Linked DNA regions of Struthio camelus. The protein of the gene in region 1 purifies or fractionates together with the protein of each later gene. This does not show direct contact. Links are inferred from orthologs where the notes say so. Each region holds a gene or a part of one and is shown on either strand. Other genes may lie near its edges.

The links.
Region 2: the proteins of COPE (region 1) and COPB2 purify together in Homo sapiens (affinity purification with mass spectrometry; 4 studies listed by BioGRID and IntAct, with this or other methods). This does not show direct contact. The link is inferred for Struthio camelus from reciprocal best matches to the Homo sapiens genes COPE and COPB2.
Region 3: the proteins of COPE (region 1) and COPZ1 purify together in Homo sapiens (affinity purification with mass spectrometry; 3 studies listed by BioGRID and IntAct, with this or other methods). This does not show direct contact. The link is inferred for Struthio camelus from reciprocal best matches to the Homo sapiens genes COPE and COPZ1.

Annotation. Positions count from the first base shown.
Region 1 is NC_090967.1:6,125,657-6,131,012, forward strand, and holds the start of COPE (coatomer subunit epsilon), read right to left. Parts: upstream 3,164-5,356; 5' UTR 3,062-3,163; coding exon 2,936-3,061; intron 2,640-2,935; coding exon 2,577-2,639; intron 2,153-2,576; coding exon 2,052-2,152; intron 1,850-2,051; coding exon 1,697-1,849; intron 1,206-1,696; coding exon 1,152-1,205; intron 636-1,151; coding exon 554-635; intron 1-553. Other genes in the region: probable ATP-dependent RNA helicase DDX49, read left to right, coding at 3,323-3,437, 3,552-3,675, 3,764-3,849, 4,420-4,541, 4,640-4,827, 4,972-5,112. UniProt on the Homo sapiens protein: The coatomer is a cytosolic protein complex that binds to dilysine motifs and reversibly associates with Golgi non-clathrin-coated vesicles, which further mediate biosynthetic protein transport from the ER, via the Golgi up to the trans Golgi network.
Region 2 is NC_090950.1:9,825,419-9,830,774, forward strand, and holds the start of COPB2 (coatomer subunit beta'), read right to left. Parts: upstream 3,296-5,356; 5' UTR 3,196-3,295; coding exon 3,193-3,195; intron 1,748-3,192; coding exon 1,610-1,747; intron 1,497-1,609; coding exon 1,410-1,496; intron 1-1,409. UniProt on the Homo sapiens protein: The coatomer is a cytosolic protein complex that binds to dilysine motifs and reversibly associates with Golgi non-clathrin-coated vesicles, which further mediate biosynthetic protein transport from the ER, via the Golgi up to the trans Golgi network.
Region 3 is NC_090969.1:2,884,438-2,889,793, reverse strand, and holds the start of COPZ1 (coatomer subunit zeta-1), read left to right. Parts: upstream 1-1,785; 5' UTR 1,786-1,828; intron 1,829-4,883; exon of another isoform or gene 4,884-4,911; intron 4,912-5,015; 5' UTR 5,016-5,219; coding exon 5,220-5,237; intron 5,238-5,356. UniProt on the Homo sapiens protein: The coatomer is a cytosolic protein complex that binds to dilysine motifs and reversibly associates with Golgi non-clathrin-coated vesicles, which further mediate biosynthetic protein transport from the ER, via the Golgi up to the trans Golgi network.

The DNA.
Region 1 (5,356 bases):
CTGGTTTTATCACTGAAATTGAGTTTAGCGAGCACTGTCCTGCTATTCCTAGAATCACAAACGTGCTTAAGGACAATCTGCTGTGAGCAGAGAATTACATTTTTGTCTGGAGTTCAATTGCAAGGCCTGGATGCTAGTCGCACTGCAGCTTTCCATTTCACATTATGATGTTTCATGAATTATTTAAACTGTGGTTTAGCTCTGCCCTATGCGAGTTAAAGGCTAAATAGCACACATGAAAAGGCCAACAGTCAAAACAGCCAGGCAGCCTGAAAAGTCAGCTGCAAATATCCTCCGGGTACTTGAAGGAAAAAATACATTTCCATGGTAACAAAGAGAGAGAGAGAAAAAAAAAAAGAAAAAAGTACCCCTCTCCTCCAAAAACAAGACAACCCCCCTTTCCCTCCCCCTCTGCCAAACGACATGCTTCCCTGAAGGCACAACGTGACAAGAGCAATCAGGAATACAACATGGAGTCTTGTGCCAGTGCTGTGCTTCTGGACAACGTTTCCTCAGACGCTGTACACTAGGGACCCCTGTCTAGGCTACTCACTATGGCTAGGTTCACCCAGGCAGTAGCCAGCTGAGTAAGAGTTGCATCTTCGTCCTGCTCCTGCATCTTCTTAAGTTCCTTGCTGCAGAAGCAAAAGTGGGAGCCATGTAACAGAAAGATAATGCATCCTCTGGAGTTCTTTCAGATACAAACAAAAGGCTGCAGTTCCCTCTGTCAACTCTTCTCTCCCTCTAGCAAACAGCCACAGCAACCTGGTAATGTGGCACAAAACCTTTACGATATTTTGCTGAAACAAGTCTGTGGAAGAGTGTTCCCTCCCTGTTTAACTTCCTTTTGGGAAGCTAATAACCCATGACTAGAGACTCAAATCACCCTCTAGCAAAGGCGAAATTAAGTCTAGGAGACAGCTTCTTCCTTTAGCTGTATCCAGCTAGATTATCTCCAAAGTTCTTGCATCATGACGAACAGGAATTTTGCACAGTGCACCCATACCCAGACACAGTTTCTTCTGCCCATTGCATGTGTTAAAGCGCTGCTAGGTGATCCAAATTCTCTTATCAAGGACTTCAAATTTTTTTAAGCCCACTGCAAGAATATTGTTCAGAAACAAAGGGGTGCATACAAGAGGCAAACTTACCGGGCTAGATCAAGCCTGTCGAGCTTCAGAAGAATCTGTATCATCATTGCCATGCTGCAAGGAACAAAGGGAAAGTGATTTTCACAGCTGCGTGCTCTACTGCTCCCTACACTTTGCTTGGGAACCTACTGCATAGGAGACAGATGTATTACCGGAGACTAGGGACAAGTCTCCCTGCAGCGGAAAACCAATAAAGCAGGGAGAACAATCACTGGGACACAGAACAGGGAAGCTTGCTTCTAGCTCCCAAATATTCTGTTGCTGTAACACCATAATGCTCATTTGAGCAACCACGAACAAGTACTGTTCCAAAAAAAAAAAAAAAATCAAATTCTAAAGTTTCACAAAGGTACAATATACTTTCTATTGCAGGACAGGCACCAAGTCACTTACTGCTTGGAAGACAATCCTCAAAACAGTTTCTTAATGGTTTCAAAGCTTTTTAGAGACAAGCCAGATCTCTGCCATTTCTATGGTAACTCTCCCTAGACAACAGAGACTTTGCTAACACACACCTCAATGATGTCATATTGAATTACACTTACCATTCCAAGCTTTCCCCTTGATGTAGAGTGCGCAAAGCGGCATCAGGATTTTTGTCATGGAAATAGATGGAAGCAGCCATCAGCAAGAAAGTAGTGTTAGCTACATCAACACTTTTTGCCATTTTTTTGTCCAAGTCAGCAACAATTGCATCTCTGTGAAGAGCAGTAGTAAAAATTTGAGCGTTTTATTACTAAATAACGCCAAAAGATTTTACCCCCTAAAATTCTACGTTTTTGAGATTCGTGGCAGAACCACAGACAGCCATAATAAAGATTACACTTCTATTAGAAATTCTCCATAGGAAAATATATTCCCTGACAGTGCGTGAGTGTTATAACTTATTATCAGACTTACCTTTGACCCTCATTTGAAAGATATTGAGCAAACATCCTTACTGCTTGGAGCTCAGGACTAGCATTGGCTTTAATTTCATCCAGGACAACACCATATTTTCTCTGTTGAAGACAAAAAAGAATCTAGAATTTATTCATTTTAAGAACACAAGCAGGAATAGTTTGTTCTGTAAACCTTAGACACCACCCCTCCCCTTCCTATTTTACATCTCCCATCGCACTGTACACAGTCAGATTTCATAACCCTATAAAGAATTATTCCCCCCTCTACACTGTGTTAACAATAAAGAAGTACCTCTCAAAGAGGTCTCATCAGGTTGCACTGACCCTAGACACAACACATCGCGTTCATAACTGCACTACTGCATGTTCCGTGTCTGTTCCAGCGGACGTTACGTTCCAACACTGAAGGAGGAATTACTAGAAATTGCACGGCACTGAATTTGCAGGACTCAGATTCACAAGTTCTGGATTCCAGCCCCACAGTAACGCTAGACTACTGCATATGCAGCATTTGTAACCTCACCTGGGCAATGTAGGCTCGGAATAAGAAAACATCCCTCTCCACCTCCTTCTCCGGATTAGACGGCTGACGGGACGACAAAAAAGACCTTTCTCAGCAACCCGTGCAGCCATAACCCGAGCCCTGAGCAGCGCAGTCCCACACGGACGGCCCCGCCAGGCTGCACCGTGGGACGAGACCCCCACACCGGGGGCGGGGGGCGCTGCAGGAGAGGAGAGACGCTAGCGGCAGCGCAGACAGCCTGCGGCGAGGCGAGGCGAGGCGAGGGGCTCCGGGGAGAGGGCGGCTGAGGGGAGGCCGGGCCCGGGGGAGAGGAGCCGGGGGGACACATGGCGCCAGGGCCCCCTCTAGGCCACCCCTACCTTGACCCGCTGCGCCTCGTTGATGGCGGCCTGGTAGGCACCGATGTAGAAGTTGTTCTTTACGTCGAAGAGCTCGTCCGCATCGCCGCCCTGGCCGGCAGGGCCCGCGCCCCCCCCGGCCGCCATTTCCCTCCCCTCAGACACGTCTCCGGAAGCAGCTGGGCCGCGAGGGCTGCCGGGAGCTAGCGTCACAGGACGCTCCTCTCCCCCCAACCAATGGGCGTGCCGGGGGCGATGACGCCAGAGCGGGCGCCGGAAGTGGGTGCAGAGAGAAGGCAGCCAATGAGGAGGCCGGGCGGGGCGGTGACGCGCAGCGCGTAGGCCGGAAGTGGGGGGGGTGGCGGCGGCGGCGGCGGCCTGGCCGGCAGTGGCAGCGGCAGCGGTATCATGGCGGCCTTCCGGGAGCTGGGGCTGGCGCCCTGGCTGGTGGAGCAGGCGCGGCAGGTGGGGCTGAGCCGGCCCACGGCCGTGCAGGCCGCCTGCATCCCGCCCGTGCTTCAGGGTGAGCGCGGCCGCCGCCGCTCGCGGCGCCCCGGTGGCCGTTAACGGCTGCCGGCGGCCGTTGAAGGGCTGCCGGCGGCCGTTAACGGCCCGCCTGCTTCTGCCTCCCGCGCAGGTCGCGACTGCCTGGGCTGCGCCAAGACGGGCAGCGGGAAGACGGCGGCCTTCGTGCTGCCCGTGCTGCAGGCGCTCTCCGAGGACCCCTACGGCATCTTCTGCCTGGTGCTGACGCCCACGAGGTGCGCAGGGGTCCCGGGGAGCCCCGGCCCCTGGGGCAGGGCCCCGCCGCGGCGCCCGGCCCCGCCTGAGCTCTCTCTCCCTCGGCAGGGAGCTGGCCTACCAGATCGCCGAGCAGTTCCGCGTCCTGGGGAAGCCCCTCGGCCTGAAGGACTGCGTCGTGGTGGGCGGCCTGGGTGAGTGGCGCTGCCCCGAGGTTGGGGCCGCGTGGGGCCTCTGCTGGTCCTCTCCGCCTCCGGTGCGGGCAGGGCTGGTAAAGAACAAAACACTGGGTGAGCAAGTGGGGGCCAAATTCTCCAAAATGCATCGGAAATCGCCTCTCTTTTGGCAGCCTGTTCCCTGCAGCAGCTGGATGGAGATAGGTAGTCGTTGTTAGAGAGGCTTACTGTCCTTTTGTCCCTGTGGATAGAGGCCTGTGTGATTTATCTCTAAACTGGGAGTGTTTCCTTAAACGTAGGCAGCTGTTTTTGAAGCAAAGAGTTATAAAAGGACATAAGGATGGTAAGCGTTTTAAACCCAGAACAATAGTTTTGTTTTCCTGGGTCACTGGATATCCAGTGTGTGGGTGACGCTTTTCTTTCTACGTGCTATGTTTTCTTCTTGCTGTGAAGTTGTTATTCTGTGCCTAAGGCTGTGTGAGGGTAGCAGAAATAGGGAGCGTTGTATTTCCCAACTTCACAGACCAAACGTTATTTAGGGTCTGTGTTCAGCTGCCTGTAACCTGGTTCTATGGCTCTTTGTTTCAGACATGGTGGCCCAGGCACTAGAGCTCTCCCGCAAACCCCATGTTGTCATTGCTACACCTGGCAGGTTGGCAGATCACCTCCGCAGCTCCAACACTTTCAGCCTTAAAAAGCTAAAGTTCTTGGTAGGGCAGTTTATTTAGTTTTGTTTCTGCTTTTAAGATTCCTAGCTTCGTAGGCATGAGTGCAGACAGTCTGTTGGTTATTTTTTGGCTGTGTCTAGGTTTTGGATGAGGCTGACCGGCTGCTAGAGCAGGAATGTACTGACTTCACTGAGGACCTGGAGGTGATCCTAGAGGCTGTTCCAGCACGCAGACAAACGTTGCTTTTCAGTGCCACGCTAACCGATACACTGAATGAGCTGAAGAGTCTTGCCATGAACAGGCCTTTCTTCTGGGAGGCTTTGTCAGAGTAAGTCTTCACCTGCTCCACTACATGTGGGATCACGCTTCCTCTCCGTTATCTTGTCTCCTGACGGTCTTTTATCTCCCTCATGCTCCATCTTTGCTTGTCAAACCTGTGCTTTTTTGGTACCTTGTTTTTCCCTCCCTGCAGGGTGCGGACAGTGGATGAATTGGACCAGCGCTACTTGCTTGTGCCAGAGACAGTCAAGGATGCGTACCTGGTCCATTTAATCCAGACCTTTCAGGATGAGCATGAAGACTGGTCTATTATTGTCTTTACCAAAACCTGCAAGTGAGTGAAGTTGCTCCTTGTGATTGCTCTTACTGTAAACGTGTTTTTGCATTTCTAGTTCAGGTTTATGGTTTGTTAGACTGGGATGGTATTTACTTCCTTAGTCTGTGCTGAAATTTGGCAGATGAACTCCTTTTCCTTTGGGCAATCTGGGGGTGAAGGACTGTCCACAAATGTAACGCTCCAGAGGGTCAAGCTATGTTACCTCCCTTGATCTTCCTTTGCTCCTGCTGATGGATAACGG
Region 2 (5,356 bases), on another chromosome or scaffold:
AGTGAAATTTATGTATTTGGGTAAATTCTATGCTAAATGCTTTATCCAAGGTAAATATTTATCCACTGTCTTTTCTTCTTTCATATAAATTCCCGCTTAAGTGGCAACAACTCCAAAAAACACCCTTCAGAAAGCACAAAATGACATGTGTTCTTCGAGATCCGCCTATCAGTGTAACAAGCATGGGACAAAGAACAAGCAGACTGATGTCACTTTCTCAGAGTCACTGTGATGAGGCCTTGGCCCTGCTGCTGAAAGCCTCTGTCTTGCCCTTTCCTTACTACATCTTGCCACTGCATCACAGCCTCCCTTGGCAAATCAAAGACTGGCACAACTGTACCGTGAATCAGTTCTTTGAAGAACCAACCTAGGTGAAATTAATCTGGCAAAAATAAAAATGCAGTTAACTTGGATCAGTTCCCAAGCCAGTTCCCACACAGCTGTTTGAACTCTTGTGCTGGTAGAGAAGCAACAGCATGGAACCTCTTAGGCAACAGTGCTGACTTATGCCTACTTGAAGTAACTGTGACATGGCAACAAAACGTGACATAACAACAAGAAATTGTTTACTCTCTCTCTTATGGCAGAAGACTAGAATGAAAACATTTAAAGATAAAAATTTTAAGTATTACTTCAATTTAGATTAAAAAAATAAGTGGAGAAAACTTTGACTTTTCAGCCAACTGTGTCTACTTACTTATGCTTTCCACGTACAACTTTTTAACCACCAATCTAAAGGCTGATTCAAGAACATATTGGAGAGGCCTCCATACATGCAATTGTAAGAAGTTACTGCATTAAGATACTGTTAATGTTTTAACTGAGACATAATTACTGTTTCAGTTTGCCGTAATAATAATATAGAATAACTGGTCGATGTTCATTCCATCACAAAATACATGTTATCAAGCTTAGAATACAACTATTCAGCTTAAAGTACTAACCTAACTGAATAAAAGCAAAGTATTTTTCTAGAGACCAACAAAACGTCTCTTAAACTTTTTATTTTAAATATAAACGGGAACAAAAGCAGAAAGCAACTTTTAACTCATTTTACCTTGGATGGTCTAGCGTTTCAGCTTAGTCACAGCAGCACTACTAACATTTAGCCAAATTTGGGTGCTGAATGCGTTCAAGCTGACAGCTAAAGTTGAATCCAGATTTACTGTGCACCAGATCTAGAATTAGCCACATCATTATGCTCTCTCTCTTTTTTTTTTTTTTTTTTTTTTTAAAAGTTTTAAAGCTAACTTAAAGGAGAAAATCTCTGGGTAACCATAATGAATTATTTCTCTCTTCTACAAATTCATATGAAATCCTACTACTTAGTGACATACAAAGGAATGCCATGAAAACAAATCACAGAAAATGGTACTATATACAGAAATCACAAGAAGAAGATAGCTTACAGCTCCTGTAACAACCCAGTTCTTTCTTGCCACAAATTTGGCAGCTCTCACTGGCAGGTCACACACTTCAAAGGTCTTCACCAGCGTCTAAGAAAAAAAAAGAATTATATTAATTATTTGTAGTAATTTAAGATCCTTCTTGTGTATCTAGCATCAGAACATGTATTTCATACACAATAGAGGAAAAACAAAAACATCACCTGTGTTTCATGATTCCAAACGCAGACACTGCCATTGTAAAGGCTAGCCAACATCCATGGCTCTGTGGGATGCAAGTCTACGCTCTTCACCCGGTCAGACCGAGCAGTTAGTTTCCGCTTTATATCAAGTCGGAGAGGCTAGAAACGAAAAAAAGTTCACAATACCAGAGTTATTCCAACATAAATTCAACATAAAAACATCATGGAAGGAAAGGAAAGCTGAAGTTAAACCTTAAAACAACTGGAGCCAATCCTGCTTTTCAGAAAGGAGGCTACTTCTCTCTTATCTGCCTGTCTGCCTGTTTTTGTAGAAGTTTCTGAAAACACATCCCTACCAATATCAATGGGTCCCTTTAATTTACTTTTGTGAACGTTTAAGTGTTTTCTTACTGTAAGTAGTATCTACAGCACAGGCAAAGAAAAGATGCACCGCACAGCTCCTTACAAAGCTCCCTGATGTCCCTGAACTACTAAATCAGAGTTAAGAGAATTTGCTTCTAATACAAACATTAAAATACAAGTCTTCCTTCTCTTTCACTTGAAAATACAGGTGGAGAAGCTAGTTATCACAACTGAAAGAACCAATAATGTAACAACACTTGCCCATTACCAATTTGCATTCACCAAGTTCTTCTACTCTAACAAGTTTTCAGATGTAATACTATGTAGTAAAAACCGGTAGAAAGGAAAAGTTTAAGTCTTCCTATTAAAAAGGCAGGCTGTGACTTTCCACTTTCATCACTGGCAGTCTAATGCTAAAGTACCTAAAATTCAAAAGGCACGAAGTACAGCAAAGCGATTTTCTAAAACTTCTGAGGCACTATAACTTTGTCCAGACACTCAAAAACTGTTGAGTTTACTTAAGGCTCGTCAGCTCAAAAATAGCCTAAGGATTTTCAAGGGTGACGCAAGACGCTGTTGAACAGCATCTCATCTCAGAACCGGACGGGTCCTCTCTGATCGCTGAACACGTTACGTGCCTCGTCCTGAGTAGCAGAACAAAACCAGCAAAACCTGCAGGTGCGTGTGTTAGGCAGCATAAGGAGGAAAAAACACCTCGCTATCATGTAACCTGCAGTCATGACACCTGACGGCAGGGAACGAACTTGTGGTTTACCGTTTCTGCGATAAACACTACAAAAGCAGGCCAGACAAAGCGCATGCGATTCTGCCTTCGCTCCCTGAAACTTCTCTAACATAAGCGGCTAACGGTAACCTCCACGGCAGCTACTTCGGCAGCCGGGGGGTCTGCCCGCCGACGCCACCGCCGCAAGAGACGACCGGGCACCGACTCGCCCCTGCCTCGTGCCCGAGGGGGCCCCCGGCGGGCCCCAAACCGCCCCTCGGCGGTGGCGTTGCGCGGCCCCCGGCAGGGCGCTCCTCCCCACACTGACCCCCGCCTGCGCCGCTTCTGGGAGCGCCCGACACCACCTCCGCGGCCCGGCCCGGCCCGGCCTGCACCGGCGCCCCCCGCCGCGCCCCCCGCGCCGCGCCGCGCCGCGCTCGCCCTCACACAGCGGGGCCCGGCCCGGCCCGGCCCGGCCCGGCCCCGGCGGTGACCGCGGGCCCCCGGCCCCGCTCACCATCGCCCCGAGTGGCCCCGCGGCAGCGCCCAGGTGTCGCTCAGCCCCAGCCAGCCACCGCCGACCGACCGACCGACCGACGTGGAGCTTCCGCCCCGCTGCTCTCGCGAGAGGACCGGCGCGAGAGTTCGCCCCTCGCGATACGGCAGCAGCCCTCCCACGGCATGCCGGGACATGTAGTTGCCTCTCCCCCCTCCCGGCTGCTGTCGCGGGGCACGCTGGGAGCTGTAGTGGGCGCGGGAGCGGGAGCGGGAGCGCGCGCGTGCTGTCGCCTCAGAGCGGCCGTAACGGTCCTAACGGCTGCGGCGGCGTTTGCGCTGTGCGTGGCGGGCGCTGCGGTGGGGCCCTTACCGTCCTCAGGGACAATCCTTCGCGTGAGGTCCCCTCACGGTTAGAGACGGCGGTGGAAAGCCGGTGTGCTTTGCCCAAGTGTGAGCGACCCGGGGAAGAGAAAGGTCCTTTGGTCACCTTTGCCTGCTCAGCGTGGTCTCTCCAAGCACTTCAGGGTGGCATTGGCCAGAGGGGCTGGGGCCCGTGTGGTGAGCGCAGCGGGGCCCTGGAGCAGGCTGCTGGAAGGAGCCCAGCTGACCTCTCTCGGGCCGTGAAAAGACTTGATCTTGGTCAGTCCTGCAGACCCTGTAGATGTGAAACACTGCCTGGCAGGTTTTTCCTTTTATAAATCTTTTTGTCACCTAAAGTTACCCATGCTGTTACCCAAAACAGAGTGTCTTAGAAACATTATGGTGAATGTGAAATTTCAGGCAGCACCAAAACACGGGGAACCATCGCTGAAAAATTCTGCTCCAGCACTGTTTGCCAGATAAAAGTTCCATCTTCAGTTGAAGATTACAAGCCCCATTTAATTCTACAAAGGAGAGAAATTACAAGAAGGATAGTTATATTCGTTAGGTTTCCGTTAAAGAAAATGCTTACGATGATACAATTTAAGCACTCAGTTGAGAATTGAGAGCCCACTGTGCTCTATCCTACAACGCAGGAAGAAGGATTGCATTGCCCTGGAGCGCGCACGGTTTGATGGACATAGAAACAAAAGGGTGAGAGGTTACTTTACCTCTTGCTATTTTCACTCCAAGAGAGCAAAGACAGAAAGACAGATACCTAAAATTAGAAAGACACAGGCCTGATGAGTGAACGAGAAGAGAGATGCCAGAAGCAAAAGAAGGGTTGCAATGTTTTCAGCAGTTATGGGTGAGTTTAAGCTCATGTATACATGAGAACATAGAATTTCAGCTTTCATTTAAAGCCTGTTTATAGTAGTGATTGTGGAAAAATGCTTCAACACATCTGAGTACAGAATTTCAGGATGTAGAATCTAAACAAGCTTGCTTAAAAGTAATGATGTGAGTAAAATTTATGATTTTCGAGTCTAATTCATGGTTTTTAGACAGCTGAGGTGTTTGGAACAGGCTGGAACACTGAAAGAAGAAATATAGGGGAAAGACGTCAGTACTAGAGAACATAGGTAGTGGGGGTAGAAAAACACACATTGTATATTTTCCCTCGAAGAGCTCAACAAGGTCCTGGCCAGAGACAGATGAGGGTATTATAGAAGAATCGAAGATAGCAAGGAAGGTAAGTGACAGGTGAAGAGACAGAGCTAGTTAGTCAAGACAATAACAGCTGGGAAAGGAAGAAATTTGTTTGCTGTTTGCATCAACTCCTCCTGGAAAGTTATAGCAACAGAACTAAATTCAGAAGGGAGGCACAGGGACAAGGATGACCTTACAGTAGGAGAGAAGCAATGAAAAAAAAATTTCTATACTATAAGGATATGGAATGTCTGTCCCAGCTATTCAACACAAGGATACCAGTTCTGACTCAAGATCATGATCCACAAATTGCTGTAAATTAAATGGCTATACAGAGGAGTATTATTTTGTATACGCTTTTCTTTCATGTTTTTTCCCTCTGTATCCTCCTTATTAGCCATTATTTCACCTGGGTGATAGGCAAAGTGACTGCAACAAGCCCTTGGGCCATCTCTAAAAAGACATTCAATAGAAAAACATTTCTATTGAATGATAAGAAGAAAATCTCTACTCTGAGTTCCTTTATGTGACCCAGCAGCCATTCTTATGCCTATCTGTTGAGAGAAGTTTTTCAGGTAAGAAAGCACACAAAATGTTTCCTTCCAAAAGTAGTA
Region 3 (5,356 bases), on another chromosome or scaffold:
GGCGGTGAGGCACCCGGGGCACCCTGCAATAACACGGCCCCCTGGAGACCCTACAATAACACAGCACCCGGGGCACCCTGCAATAACACGGCACCCTGGAGACCCTGCAATAACACAGCACCCGGGGCACCCTGCAATAACACGGCACCCTGCAGACCCTACAATAACACAGCACCCGGGGCACCCTGCAATAACACGGCACCCTGCAGACCCTACAATAACACAGCACCCGGGGCACCCTGCAATAACACAGCCCCCTGGAGACCCTACAATAACACAGCACCCGGGGCACCCTGCAATAACACGGCACCCTGCAGACCCTACAATAACACAGCACCCGGGGCACCCTGCAATAACACGGCACCCTGCAGACCCTACAATAACACAGCACCCGGGGCACCCTGCAATAACACGGCCCCCAGGAGACCCTACACAAACACGGCGCCCTGCGCTGGCGCAGCCACTGCAGCCGGCCGGGCCGGGGCCGCCGGGGCCCTTTCCGCCCCCGTTTCCCGTCGTTACCCGCCGGCCGGGGCAGCTGGAACCGCAGGGCCCCGGCGCCGTTATCGCCCCGCGCCGGCGCTGGCGCCGCGCCCCGCGTGTGCCCCGGCCCCGCTGCGGGCAAACCGCCCCGGCGCTCGCACACGCGTGTGCCGAGAGCTGGGCACGGAAACCTGCGTAGCCAACGCCGGGCACACGCACTGGTCCGCAGGTGCACGCGTGCACCGAGCCCTGGGCACACGCGTGCACCAGACCCAGGGCACACGCATGCACCAGACCCAGGGCACACGCGTGCACCAGACCCAGGGCACACGCATGTACCAACCCCTGAGCACACGCTTGCACCAGACCCAGGGCACACGCATGTACCAACCCCTGAGCACACGCTTGCACCAGACCCAGGGCACACGCATGTACCAACCCCTGAGCACACGCTTGCACCAGACCCAGGGCACACGCATGTACCAACCCCTGAGCACACGCTTGCACCAGACCCAGGGCACACGCATGTACCAACCCCTGAGCACACGCGTGCACCAGACCCAGGGCACACGCATGTACCAACCCCTGAGCACACGCGTGCACCAGACCCAGGGCACACGCGTGCACCGATCCCTGGGCACACGCATGCACCAGACCCAGGGCGCACGCGTGCACCGAGCCCTGGGCACACGCTTGCACCAGACCCAGGGCACACGCATGTACCAACCCCTGAGCACACGCGTGCACCAGACCCAGGGCACACGCGTGCACCGAGCCCTGGGCACACACGTGCACCAGACCCGGGGCACACACGCGTGCACCGACCCTTTTGCACATGCGTGCACTGATCCCTGGGCACACACATGCACCGGCCCCTGAGCACACGCGTGCACCAACCCCTGGGCACACACATGCACCAGACCCAAGGCACACGCGTGCACCGAGCCCTGAGCACACGCGTGCACCGATCCCTGGGCACACGCGTGCACCGATCCCCGAGCCCGCGCCTGCCCTGACCCCGGCCCACGTCCCCCAGCCGTGTGGCCCCGTGTCGCCCCACGGGAGCACACGCGTGTCCTGCCGCGCGGGCTCCTACCTGCCGCGGGTCACCGCCGGCGTCCGGGGGCTGGTGCTCAGGGCACGGCCATCGCGGGCGCCTCTGGGGACACGGCGGGGACACGGCGCAGCGCCAGCCCCCGGGGCGGCCCCGGCCCCCGCCCGCCCCCGGCACCCGCCGCAGGGACACGGGCACGGCGGGGGGGGACGGGACATGGGGACAGGGGAATGGGGGGTGCAGGGACAGGGGACGTGGGGGACACGGGGACAAGGAGACACGGGGACAGGGGTGAGGATGGGGACTTGGGGACATGGGGGCAAAGAAAGAGTGGGGGACAGGGGGACAGGGACAGAGGGGGGACCTGGGGCAACAGGACATGGGGACAGGGATGGGGACATGGGGACAGGGATGGGGAGGGGACAGGGATGGGGATTTGGGGACAGGGACAAGGATGGGGACAGGAGATGGGGGACAGGGGGCAGGGACGGGGTGGGGACACGGGGATGGGGGAGTGGGGGACATGAGGACAAAGGGACATGGGGATGGGGACATGGGACAGGGACAAGGGGACATGGGGACAGGGGAATGGGGGGCACAGGGATGGGGACAAGGGGACAGGGAGGGGGACTTGGGGACATGAGGACAGGGACAAGGATGGGGACAGGAGACGGGGGACGGGGACAGGGTTGGGGACACAGGGGACACAGCTCCCCCCCCCCCAGCAGGGCCCGGCGTTATCAGTAGGGCCCAGGGCATCCGCCCCCCCCCCCCCCCCCCGCAGGGGGCCCAGGCGTCCGGCCCCCCCCCCCCCATGGCGTGTCCCTGCGCGTGCGTGGCCGCCCCGTGTCCCCCTCCGTGTCCCTGCGTGTCCACGTCCCCCCGGCCCTGCACGTCGGGTTGGCCCCGTGTCCGTGTCACCGCGTCCCCCCCCCCGGTCCCCCCGTCCGCGTTGTGCCCACCACCGTCCCCCGTGTCCCTGTTGACCCCGTGTCCATGTCCCTGTCACCACGTCCCCCTGTCCCCTGTGTCCGTGTTGTCCCCGTGTCCATGTCCCCCTCCCCATCTCTCTGTGTCCCCCATGCCCATGTTGACCCTGTGTCCCTGTCCCCATGTCCCCTGTGTCCCTCTCCCTGTCTCCAACGTGTCTCCATGTCCCCATGTCCATGTTGACCCCTCACCCGTGTCCCTGTCCCCGTGTCCCCCATGTCCATGTTGACCCCTCACCCGTGTCCCTGTCCCCGTGTCCCCCATGTCCATGTTGACCCCTCACCCGTGTCCCTGTCCCCATGTCCCCCATGTCCATGTTGATCCCTCACCCGTCTCCCTGTCCCTATGTCCCTGTGTGCTCATGTCCATGTTGACCCTACGTCCCCCAAGTCCCCGTGGCCGTGTTGACTCCATGTCCCCACGTCCCCATGTCCATGTTGACCGCTCGCCCGTGTCCCTGTGTCCCCATGTCCCCCATGTCGTGTCCGTGTCCCCGTGTCCCCCCGTCCCCCCTGTCCCCGTGTTCCCCCGTCCCCCATGTCCCCGTGTCCCTGCAGTGTCCTGCGGCCCTGTCGAGCCCGTGGCCCTGTCCCTGTGTCCCCCCCGTGTCCCCCGATGGCCGTGCTGATCCTGTCCCTGTGTCCCCATGTCCCTGTGTCCCCCTGTCCCCCGTACCCCGTGTCCCCATGTCCCCCTGTCCCCCGTGTCCCCCCGTGGCCGTGTCCCCGCAGCATCCTGCGGCCCTGTCCCCGTGTCCCCCCCGTGTCCCCCCATGGCCGTGCTGATCCTATCCCTGTGTCCCTGTCCCCCATGTCCCCCGTCTCTGTGTCCCCCTGTCCCCCGTGTCCCCCTGTCCCCGTCCCCCATGTCCCCGTCCCCCATCTCCCCGTCCCCCTGTCCCCGTGTCCCCCCCGTGTCCCCCCATGGCCGTGCTGATCCTGTCCCTGTGTCACCGTCCCCCATGTCCCCCGACCCTGTGTCCCCCTTTCCCCCGTGTCCCCATGTCCCCCTGTCCCTGTGTCCCCCCGTCCCCCATGTCCCCGTGTCCCTGCAGCATCCTGCGGCCCTGTCGAGCCCGTGGCCCTGTCCCCGTGTCCCCCCCGTGTCCCCCCATGGCCGTGCTGATCCTGTCCCTGTGTCCCTGTCCCCCATGTCCCCCGTCCCTGTGTCCCCCTGTCCACCGTGTCCCCATGTCCCCCTGTCCTCCATGTCCCCCGTGTCCCCATGTCCCCCTGTCCCCGTGTCCCCCCCGTGTCCCCCCATGGCTGTGCTGATCCTGTCCCTGTGTCCCTGTCCCCCATGTCCCCCGTCCCTGTGTCCCCCTGTCCACCGTGTCCCCATGTCCCCCTGTCCTCCATGTCCCCCGTGTCCCCATGTCCCCCTGTCCCCGTGTCCCCCCCGTGACCCCCATGGCCGTGCTGATCCTGTCCCTGTGTCCCCGTCCCCATGTCCCCCGTCCCCATGTCCCCCTGTCCCCCGTGTCCCCCTGTCCCCCGTGTCCCCATGTCCCCCGTCCCCCTGTCCCCCGTGTCCCCGTGTCCCCGTCCCCCATGTCCCCCTGTCCCCGTCCCCCATGTCCCCGTGTCCCCCGTCCCCCTGTCCCCCGTGTCCCCCTGTCCCCCGTCCCCCTGTCCCCCTGTCCCCCGTGTCCCCCTGTCCCCCGTGTCCCCATGTCCCCCGTCCCCCTGTCCCCCCTGTCCCCCGTGTCCCCGTGTCCCCGTCCCCCATGTCCCCGTCCCCCATGTCCCCGTGTCCCCCGTCCCCCTGTCCCCCGTGTCCCCCTGTCCCCCGTGTCCCCCTGTCCCCCGTCCCCCTGTCCCCCTGTCCCCCGTGTCCCCCTGTCCCCCGTGTCCCCATGTCCCCCGTCCCCCTGTCCCCCCTGTCCCCCGTGTCCCCGTGTCCCCGTCCCCCGTGTCCCCCTGTCCCCGTCCCCCATGTCCCCCTGTCCCCCGTGTCCCCCTGTCCCCCGTGTCCCCGTGTCCCCGTCCCCCATGTCCCCCTGTCCCCCGTGTCCCCCTGTCCCCCGTGTCCCCGTGTCCCCGTCCCCCATGTCCCCCTGTCCCCCGTGTCCCCCTGTCCCCCGTGTCCCCGTGTCCCCGTCCCCCATGTCCCCCTGTCCCCCGTGTCCCCGTGTCCCCGTCCCCCATGTCCCCGTCCCCCATGTCCCCGTGTCCCCCCCGTGTCCCCCCATGGCCGTGCTGCTCCTGTCCCTGTGCCCCCACGGTCCCCCCTCCCCCCACCTGACCCCAGAGAGGCCAAAGGTCAAAGGTAACGGCCTCGCGCCCACTGGGGGTCATGACCCCGTTGGGGGCGTGGCCAAGCAACATGCGGGAAATGCTTCCGGTCATGTGATTAGCAGCCCCGCCAATCGCCTAACGCGACTGGTAAGGCTGGTTGCGTCAGCGCTTCTTCGGTTGCCATGGGAACTGCGCCTCCCTCCGCTTTCCAGGGACGGTGACTGACAGCCCTCATGTCCAATCACCGATAGATTTCGGCGGCTCGAGAAAGGAGGAACTTCGCCCGGCCCGCCCCCCAAGCGAACCTTGCGCTGATTGGCCAGACTTCAGAGAGGCTCGCCCAATGAGACGCGGGATCGCCGCGCGGGTCCCAGAGCAGGGCGGTGATTGGCAGCCGGGCAGCCAATGACACGCGGCCGCTCTTCCGGCTCCACGTCGGCATCGGCGAGCGCAAAATGGAGGCGCTGATCCTGGTAGGAGCGGGCCGGGCCGGGCCGGGGGCGGGGGGTGCCGGGCCCTACCAAGGGGTTAATGGGGGGGGGGTCCGGGCCGTACCATGATGGTCAGTGGTGGTGGGGGGGACAGGCCCGTA